Saccharomyces cerevisiae S288C: one gene and its partners. The main gene of each other region encodes a partner of the protein of the gene in region 3 in a complex. Each region holds a gene or a part of one and is shown on either strand. Other genes may lie near its edges. A codon is read from its position in the direction of its gene.

Region 1 (3,763 bases), on a different chromosome or scaffold from region 3:
TCTAGTTTCCTTAGTACTTGAAGGGAAAATATCTGAAATCTATCATAGAATCGTATCCGAAAGGAGATCAATTTCACTAATAGATCTAAAATGATATCGACGTCAAACCTTCTCATAAACTCATCATTAAAATCCATGGTTAAATAAAAGTTCAACAGATGGTGACAACTAATAGGGTCAAACCTTGCCAAAATACTAGTTCGTAGACACGCTACTGCATCGGGTAAGTCACTCACTCGAAGCAGAGTTAAGCCAAGTAGTTCCCATTCCAACCCGCTGTATTTCGCCGTAGCCTTATTTTCTTGAGATGAAGTGCTAATACTTAAATCTTCGTAAACGTCCAGAAACATAGCATCAAACCATCTCTGACAGAGCCTCTTCTGGCGTAATTCTGTGGACAGCTTGTCCGAAGATTCTATCATTTTGAATTTACTCTCCATAACGAAAACGTCAGATCTTAGCTGAAGTAAGGCGTTCCAGCCGATTCTAGCGACTAATTCCATCAACAGAAGACGTACTTGCTTTATAAACCAACTCTCTTGTCTGGTTTCTTTGCTTCGTTTTAGTAACAGCATATCTCCTACTGTATTTACCTCCTGCTGAGATACAAAGTTTATGAGATTGTCACTCTGTGGTCCACAAATAGGTCCTAATTCAAGACAGGATTTATTCCATATCTCTTCAATACATCCATACTTAGATTCATTGGGCATTACAGTGCGTCCAAATATTATTGTCTTCAACTCCAACTCATTTTCATAATGCATAATATTCATGAGGTGATTTAACTCGTGTGATGTCATGGTACAGTGTTCTCTGCTATGACATAGTGGTGCCTTGTAGTAGTTCATATAAAACTTAAAAGCGTTAATCTGGGCTTGTTTAACGATATCATATTCCGCTAAACAGGGCATCGAATTGATTGAGAGCAGTGCCTTATCATACTGTTGTGAAAAAATATAGCCTTTAGATAACAGATACCAAGATTCAAAATTATCAGAAGATAAATTCGTGGCCAATGTGGAAATGGATAAAGAAAGTTCATAGTCGTTATTGTTCAATAGAAACCTTGCTTGGATGCTTAATACATCGGTGATGCAATTGATCAAATCAGAAATGTAAGGTTCATCGGATGGCAATCCATACAGTACGGGTAGTAATAGGTCTAATATCTCGTGTATCCGTTTGATCATTTCTACATCGCGGTCATTACTTCGCTCCATGATAGAAATAATTACAATAGCGTAATATCTAGAATTTGACGGGTCATTCGTCATCAAGTTGTCTAAAACCTGGATCGCATAGTCTGTTATGAATTCTGGAGTTATAGACAGAAATACTAATAATGATTCAGTTAGGTAGTTATTCAGTATCGTTGCATAGACGCTCTTTGTAGAATCCCAACCACATTCTAAAAATCTTGGCAAAAATTTGCATAACGAATCTATCACCCTTTTATAATCACTCGCGCATCTGTTCTCAAAAACAAATGGTAATTCCACTAGCCCAGGTATTTTTCTTTCAAAATCTGAATTAATAATTACGCTTCTTATGCAACAGCTAACGAAAGTTTCTTCCCAAATAAGATCACTCAACGGTATTTCATTGTTGCCATTTAAACAGTCAACGATATTAACTTGATAAACATCTTCAGATTCATATCTTAATCTAATGTCCAATTTTTGAAAGATATTGAAAGTGCAGTAGGTTGTGATGTCGTCGTTCTTCAAAGATGCTGATTTTAGTTTCTTACCATCATTCCATTTTATCAGCTTCAAAAATGCAATTGGCATAGAGACGCTCGAGGCGTCGATCCCCGTGATGTAAAAGAATTCACCTATTTTCTCATCGTGAAATTTATCTAACTCTGTACAATGAATCAAGTCTGGAGGACCAATACCAGATTTACCAGTGCTCACCAATTCACTTAAAAGGGACGTCCTAAAGATTAAACTTTCACCATGTACTTTTTCCAAAGTTCTTGGATAATCTATAGGAACGTTTTTACGTGTTGGTTTCACACGTTGCTGTGGAACAACACCTGACGGAAGAGAACCTGCAGCCTTTTTATTCTTGCCTTTCTTGGACTTTGTAGACCCCCATAAAAAACTCATATTCCTCGAGGCCAATTGATCTGTTAACTGTACTTTACTACTTATACTACTTGATATATATGCCCTTTCTTTGCACACAATGTCTCTTTATTGCCGTTTGTCATTTTGTTTTTTTTATTTTTATGTTGAATTTAGATACACCATTGTGCATACATCTTATTTTTCCCAAACGGTGTAACAATGCCTCGGAAACCTGATGACGAATTGCTAAAATAATACGGCATTGTACGGCACCAGGACTGGCAACGTAGCATTTCCAATATTATAATATTTTTACTCAATAACTGAAAAGATAATAAGAAAATTATAAAAGTAAAAAAATTCTTCCCCGCCAGGACTTGAACCTGGAATCTTCTGGTTCGTAGCCAGACGCCGTGACCATTGGGCCACGAGGAACAAGAATTATTAAGAGACATTAAAAATTGAGAACCCTAAGTATCAGCACTATTTATTGCATGATTTTTTACCTAATATAGTAGTTCAAATTACCAGACCCAACTAATCCTGCTCTAAGAAGTAAGAAATGTGTGAATTTTGAAATAATTGTTGGGTTCCATTGTGAATAAAAGCTATCATTGAGAAATGTTTGAATAATATGATAATTACTGGTGTTCCATTATTGTTGAAGGCTATGATACACAATATACTAAAAGTTCTCTTCGAGGATATTAGAAATGCGGAAGAAGGAATCGGTATTCATGAATAGTAATGTTATTGTCTCGTTTTTTTACTTTATATGCTTATTCTTTATCTTGTTACGTTATCAATGCTTGCATTTCAGCTTCTATTATATTTAATAACCGTTTCTCATTCTTAATGTCATCTTCTTACACTGTGTATGAGAACATACTGCTAATTTGTGTGCTAGTGCATAGATGGTAGTTAATTCTTATTCAGACAAAAAGTTTTAGTATCTGATCTGTTGTTAAACATGTTAGATAAGTATTTTTTGGAATAAAGATCCACTATCGTATATTGGCTAGCGGTCGTGACACTAATATGTTATTACATACTGCATAAATAGAATACACAAATCGTGAGGTACAGTCATCCAATGTTGTGGAAGTCGATACTCAAGACCTAAAGAAAAATAAAATTTCTGAATGAAAAACATAACGATAGTAAAAATGAGCGGTATGTTATGACATAGGAGATAGAAGAACAAAACTGATCTGATCAAATTATTTTAAGAATATTTTACTAGTATGTTTACTACATGACAATCTGCAGCAGTGCCAGCTACATGGTGATCTCTCCAAAACAGACCAAACAATTTGCGCTTGTATTGCTTTTCAAAATAAAACTAAACATATGTAATTGTGCTTACAAGAATTGCTAGCTATATCTTATGTTGGTAATAGATAACGATTAGTAATACCTTTTATGAGAAAGAATAAGGAGGCAATGCCATCATTTTCGCCACATTAAGAGTGCACGACTCTATCCAGGGAATTTGATACAACACAGCAACATTGTCGCCATATTTAAAGCTTTCTACATAGCATAATGTTTTTTTTTTTTTACAATAGATAAATTTCATCCGGAAGAAAAATGAAAAAAAAATGAAAAAATTGGTGAAGTTTATGGTGTAAAATGAGAATCATACTGCTCAAATAGTGACAAAGCCATCATTAATCATAGATTTCTTC
Region 2 (2,710 bases), on a different chromosome or scaffold from region 3:
AAACCCGCCCGTTAGTGCATGGAGTGCCAGGTAAGTTGTCGTGGGGTTCACCCGGAGAGGCTGCGCTGCCATTTTTTTTTGCGACTTTACAATTTAAGCTACCTATTATGTGATAAAAAATTAAATGTAAAAAGTTATGGGTGTAGATATGTATGGGTCTGAGATTAATACAGTCCCCAGATTGAGAAAGTTTTCGTGAAGATTATTTGTTGAGTAACAACAAATCAAAGATCCTCTTCAGTCTTGAACAGTCAATTGACACAGTACCACACTATCATTCTGAATTATCATAATATGATTTCGTGTGTTTTAGGTTTTAAAAGTATCTTTTGAGAACACGGTGGACCTGAGAGCGAAACGTCAATATATGATTCACGCAGGGGTGCTGTAAAACAAATGAAAATGCGTTGTATAATATCCTAAATATATCATGTTTCTTTGTTTCTATATCAAATTGCCATTATTAGTTAAAGTAGTTTATACTAGTTAGGCTTCTTCAGTATTTTTTTATTTTATTATCTTGGTTTTTATTGCTTTTACACTAAAATCTATATGTGTTGGCTGGTGATCGTCAATAAATCCATCGACGTTGGCCTCTTAAGTTCTTAATCTTTATGTTTCATTTAGTTTATACAAGCGTATTTGATCCATATTCTAGAATTTTTAAGTTGAGTTTTTCAAACTGTTACTTAACCATTCCAAACCTTCATACAAACCTTCACCGGAGGTAGCACACGTGGCTTGGATAAACCATGGACGGTTTCTAATAGAATGTAAACCTAGTTTTTCAGTGATTTCAGCAGCAGACATGGCTTCTGGCAAATCTTGCTTGTTAGCGAACACCAACCAAGCGGCGTTTCTCAATTCATCTTCGTTCAACATTCTTTGCATAACTTCTCTAGCTTCACCAATACGCGATCTATCGTTAGAATCGACAACAAAGATAACACCTTCAGTGTTTCTGTAGTAGTGTCTCCATAGAGATCTAATTCTGTCTTGTCCACCGACATCCCAGACAGTGAATGAAATGTTCTTATATTGGACAGTTTCAACGTTGAAACCAATTGTTGGAATGGTAGTGATAACTTCACCCAATTTCAACTTGTACAAAACGGTGGTCTTACCAGCACCATCAAGACCAACCATAAGAATACGCATTTCTTTGTTACCAAAAAGGTTACTGAACAACTTAGAGGCAAACAAACCCATTTTTAATTCTATTAAACCTGTTTGAGTTCTTTCTTATACCTTCAATGCCAGAGGTTCCAAAAAGTTTCAAAACAAAATGAACTTTCTATCTAGTAAGACTTATAAAAACCACCTCGATAAACAAGTGGATCGAGAACGTGTCAAAGATTCCGTTTCTCTCTCTGTTTTTCCATTTTTCGATTTTCATTTTTTTTTTTGGTTTGACAAATACAAGCCACCTCGTTATATGTGATTTGCAACGCGAAAAGAAATAAAAAGGGAAGGGTAATAACATGGTTTTTCTACAATAAACTGCTATCATTACGGTATTAGTGGCTTCTTGAGAGCTTATTGCGTGACTTTTTTTACTAAACTATTGAAAAATGCAACTAAGTAGCTAGCTTAAAACTATTGCTATCATTATCATTATTACTACTGTTATATATGTGGGCAATGACTTTCTTAAGTATCAGACGAGAATTCAACTGTGCAAAATTAAAAGGTTGAGCGAGATACTTATCTTTTCGTTTAGCTCTTAAGTATCATTTACCAACATTCACTTTACATCCTGCGTACTGTCTTAGGCCGCGGATGAAAACCGAATATATGACTTCGTTGTTATCTTTTTCCCAATAAAATTCGGTTAATCTAATATGCCAAGGTGGGAACCCTTGTAAATCCAACGAAGGCCCGAAGTATAACAGTAAATCTGGTTCGGGTCCAACTAGTTGTTTCAGTTCTGAATCAACTAAATCCATTGTGATGTCAGAAACGCTCAATTCGTTAACCGCACATAACTCAGCCATAGTTTTGGTCAGATCGACAATCGTTTCTCTACCATCTCTGTTAGACAATAAAGAAATTTCAATAGCAATTTTGTCCTTTTCTTGGTTAGCTTCTATCTCATTGCCTACATCAGTCTCGGTTTCAATTCCGTCTAGATTGTAGAATATCTTGTTAGAATGAGGTATTTTAACAGCGTAGTTTGGAACATGAGCTGGCCCAAAATATTTAGCCAGGTTGGAATGAATTTCCATTCTCAGCTCTGGAACATTTCTTTGTAATATTCCATCGTAATCGTACAACATCAAATGTTTTATACCAGCTGAAACAGTCCAGCAAACAATTTCACTCGCGTCATTTAATAAACCTGTCACACCGCCGCCAACGTCGCCAACTGGCTTGACTTCCAAGATAGCGGCCAACCTTTTAGGAATTTTTTTCAGAGGAATAACGTCCTGTCTAATCAACTGTGGTGTATATGCATGGTTGTAGATGATACTGAATATTCTTAGTTTCATTTTATTATATTGGTATTGACCGTACCGAAACAACCCGAAGCAGATGTATAACAACACAAGTAAAAACTTGTAAAAAAGGTATTCAAATTTACCTATTCTTTTACTCAAATCTTCTGTCTTTTGCTTTTGGACTCCATTCGTCTCATTGTTCACTTTCTTCTGAGGGTTCTCATCGGCGTCTGCAATGATACTTGTAACGGCCTTTAAAGCTCTGGTTTTTG
Region 3 (3,763 bases):
ATACAATTGCTCTGATTGCCAATCGGTGTAAGTTTTCAAATCTTCGTATAGTAACATGAAGAGATTATCCAACCATCTTTCGCATAGCCTCTTTGATCTCATTTTGGATATATCATTACCGCGAACTTCTGCTTCATCAATGGAAGAAGTGGAGCCTTGGTACTCGTCTTCCATAACGAAAATTTTTGATCTATATTTCAACAGCTGCTCCCATCCTGTTATTTGGACAATTTCTGTCAATAATTTATAGGCTAGTTGGAAAGTAGACTTTAAACTTGACGCAGAGAGATTGACTAGGTTTGGATCTGCGGACTTTTGCTCCAACTGGACATCCATGGGGTTCAATGACGAAATCTCCTCAATTGAGGCATCCAATGGTAATGGCAGATGAAGATTTTCATCTGAAGTAATAGGCGCAATTCTTCTAAGAACGTATTTTTCCTTAACCTGTGACATGGGGCAGGCGTTTAACGATAGCAAGGCATTTGACATATCGTTTAGTTTAATGTATATTCTAGTCAATAAATACCAAGTTTTAAATTCGTTTGGTGCACAGTTAACAGCCTCCATGGCTACTTCCTTAGCAAGCTTGTAATCTCTCTTGACATCCAGTAAGAATTCACTTTGAATACTTAATAATTCGGATTTGAAGATTAGCTGGATATGGCTAGTCTTTGAATCGTCGGCTAAGAACGAAGAGGGGGAATTTAGTTGCTCGTTGATCAGGTCAACTGCATCTATCTCTAAATCGCACGCAAAATAAACACGAATTAATATTATTACTGCTTCTGGATGAATTTCTATTAACTTCTTGAGCATTTTACGACATGCTTCCAAACTCTTAGTTAACCTAACTATTTCCACTAAAGTTTCCACTAAATAATTATTGGTTAACGAGGGATTTAAAACGTGAGTAGGTGCATCTAAATAAACACCTTTTTCATAGACCAAGGGGAACAGTTTAATAAAGTTATTGGCAACATCTTCCAACTCACCCGAGGTAAATGGATTGAAAATTAGTGTTTCTACCAAATTCTGGGATTCTCCATCCGCACGATTATCTTTCATAATCATAATGTCACGTACAATACCACTCATAAACGTTTCCGCCCAAATCATGTTGACGTTTAAATCCTGTGAGTTGCGGCCAGATGACGCTTCTGCCACGGAGGGAAGTTGCGATTGTTCACCGTCGCTATTTATAATGTAGGTTTGCACAGTTCCTGGAATGTGAACTATAATGTTAACATCATATTTCCTAAACGCATTCCAAGAACTGATAGAAATCTTCGATACGTGAAAGTGCTTCTTCTTACCAAACCAAATTTGGGGCGTGTCTAAGAAAAGATCGGTTATCTTTTTGGCAAAGATTGTAATAGAAGTTGGATCCGAAGTATCGATACCCATACAGTAAAAGAAAGTGCCGATCTGCCCCTTTAATTTGTCATGGGAATGTAACTCCGTAACTATGGTCGTAGGATCTTGTCCATTGATGTTTGAAGTTGCTCCGTTATCGTTGGCGGAGGCAGTAGCAGTTGTTGTGCTCGAGGATGAAGGTAACGATTTGATCAAAGTAATTAAATCAGGCGGACCCAAGTCTTGGAATTGTCCCACTCTGGCTCTCCTCTGGTGTAGCGCATAGCCTATCACGTCTTCTTTCACTTCCGGTATGGAGGTTTGAGACAACATGGTTAGGACTTCAAGTTTTCAGTTTATCCTTTTCACGTTCTAAAAATCAATACAGCGCGGAAAGTGCTCTCAAGAAGATGAATTGAGATGTTTAAGGGTCCATTTGTTACTACATTATCGTGTAGATCTCATTTCTCTAACTTTCCATGTAGGAAAGGGCAGGCAGGAAAAAGAACATTAGAGAACATGATCACGATACACGACTAGCGCATTATTTAGTGTATATTACTCTATTATGCATTCTACATGACGCATCTTCCGGAAGAACTTGATTTAGTGTACTTATGATATATAAGCGGTGCATTCACATAGACTTTGGGTCCTCAAGGTCCCACTCCTTCGCTGTGAGACAATATTTTTCTGGGGGAAGCCTGACACCCCACGTACCCATCACTTGAGGTAATGCCTTCTTGTTTCTTTCCGCAGCTAACTGTAACATGAGCTCCTTAGGTGCCGTAGGCTTAAATTGGTATTGTGTTCTCGCTGCAATGGCAAGCCGTATGTCTTCTACTCCTAATCCACTGCCGGCAGAATTTCCACTGCCAGCGTAGTCGTTGTAAACCAACGCGTCCTTAAGGACTCCTTGTGTGTACCTATGTGCAAAATCCATCAATTGTAGCGGTACTTGGTCCTCATATTGATGAATCGACTGTGATGCGAGGAGCAGATGCAAAAGACGGACATCTCGTGGCGTTTCCTCTTGTGTTGAGTCCGGACCAACTTCTGATACTGAGCCCACTGAGTTTTTATTCAAAACATTCTTGCCTCCGCCGTTCATAATGGTCTGTGAAGTCCTCTAGTCTTTTCTTGTTGTCGTGTTGTTTCATAATGTCAAATTCTACTTTTGATTTAAAGCTCTTAGTTTGGTCATGGAATGCATGTCACTATGCACGTTGTGGGACAATTAATGGAAAAAAATTTATTAGGAAGATATTGATCAAAGGCATAATATCACGGTAAAAGGTGAATATAGGCCATTTTAACAGGCTGTCTTTCGAAACAGATTTTTAGCTATGGCTACCTTGCACTTCGTTCCTCAGCACGAGGAAGAACAAGTTTACTCCATCTCTGGGAAGGCACTCAAGTTAACAACCAGTGACGATATCAAACCATACCTGGAAGAATTGGCAGCTTTGAAAACCTGTACCAAATTAGACCTTTCAGGGAATACAATCGGTACTGAAGCTTCGGAAGCATTAGCTAAATGCATCGCTGAAAATACACAGGTCAGGGAATCTTTGGTTGAAGTAAATTTTGCTGACTTATACACTTCGAGGTTGGTTGACGAAGTCGTTGATTCGTTGAAGTTTTTATTGCCTGTTCTGTTGAAATGTCCTCACTTGGAGATTGTGAACCTTTCTGATAATGCGTTTGGGCTAAGAACAATCGAGTTACTAGAAGATTACATTGCACATGCCGTGAATATCAAACATTTGATCTTAAGTAACAATGGTATGGGCCCTTTTGCTGGTGAAAGGATTGGTAAGGCCCTATTTCATCTCGCTCAAAATAAGAAAGCTGCTTCCAAACCATTTTTGGAAACTTTTATCTGTGGTAGAAATAGATTAGAGAATGGATCCGCAGTCTACTTAGCTCTGGGTTTGAAAAGCCACTCCGAAGGTTTGAAAGTCGTAAAGCTGTACCAAAATGGTATTAGGCCTAAAGGTGTCGCCACGCTAATTCATTACGGTTTACAGTACTTGAAAAACTTGGAAATCTTGGATCTTCAAGACAATACTTTCACGAAACATGCTTCTTTGATCCTTGCTAAGGCCTTGCCTACATGGAAGGATAGTTTATTTGAATTGAATTTGAACGACTGTCTTTTGAAAACTGCTGGTTCAGATGAAGTCTTTAAAGTATTCACCGAAGTTAAATTCCCCAATTTGCATGTCTTGAAATTCGAATATAATGAAATGGCTCAAGAAACCATTGAAGTATCCTTCTTACCGGCTATGGAAAAGGGAAATTTACCTGAATTGGAAAAGCTAGAAATAAATGGTAACAGATTAGATGAAGATTCTGATGCTTTAGATTTGCTCCAAAGCAAATTTGATGATTTAGAGGTTGACGA

Evidence for each region.
Region 1: BCH1 (region 3) and BCH2 share a complex: the UniProt entries of both Saccharomyces cerevisiae proteins name them as parts of the CHS5/6 complex.
Region 2: the proteins of BCH1 (region 3) and ARF1 are in contact, whole or in part, in a crystal structure (PDB 4Q66), measured with the Saccharomyces cerevisiae proteins. Residues at the interface, in NP_013964.1 of Saccharomyces cerevisiae: Thr688, Lys689, Asn692, Glu693, Ala695, Ser696; in NP_010089.1 of Saccharomyces cerevisiae: Asp72 (codon at 996), Arg73 (codon at 993), Ile74 (codon at 990), Ser76 (codon at 984), Leu77 (codon at 981), Arg79 (codon at 975), His80 (codon at 972).

What each region holds. Positions count from the first base shown.
Region 1 is NC_001143.9:489,715-493,477, reverse strand, and holds the start of BCH2 (Bch2p), read right to left. Parts: upstream 2,115-3,763; coding exon 1-2,114. UniProt on the Saccharomyces cerevisiae protein: Member of the CHS5-ARF1P-binding proteins (CHAPS) which mediates export of specific cargo proteins, including chitin synthase CHS3.
Region 2 is NC_001136.10:114,820-117,529, reverse strand, and holds ARF1 (Arf family GTPase ARF1), read right to left. Parts: upstream 1,210-2,710; coding exon 664-1,209; downstream 1-663. Other genes in the region: NUS1 (ditrans,polycis-polyprenyl diphosphate synthase), read right to left, coding at 1,731-2,710. UniProt on the Saccharomyces cerevisiae protein: GTP-binding protein involved in Golgi vesicle trafficking. May modulate vesicle budding and uncoating within the Golgi apparatus. May recruit the lipid transfer protein VPS13 to Golgi membranes.
Region 3 is NC_001145.3:741,675-745,437, reverse strand, and holds the start of BCH1 (exomer complex subunit), read right to left. Parts: upstream 1,690-3,763; coding exon 1-1,689. Other genes in the region: TAF9 (chromatin modification protein), read right to left, coding at 1,994-2,467; GTPase-activating protein RNA1, read left to right, coding at 2,703-3,763. UniProt on the Saccharomyces cerevisiae protein: Member of the CHS5-ARF1P-binding proteins (CHAPS) which mediates export of specific cargo proteins, including chitin synthase CHS3.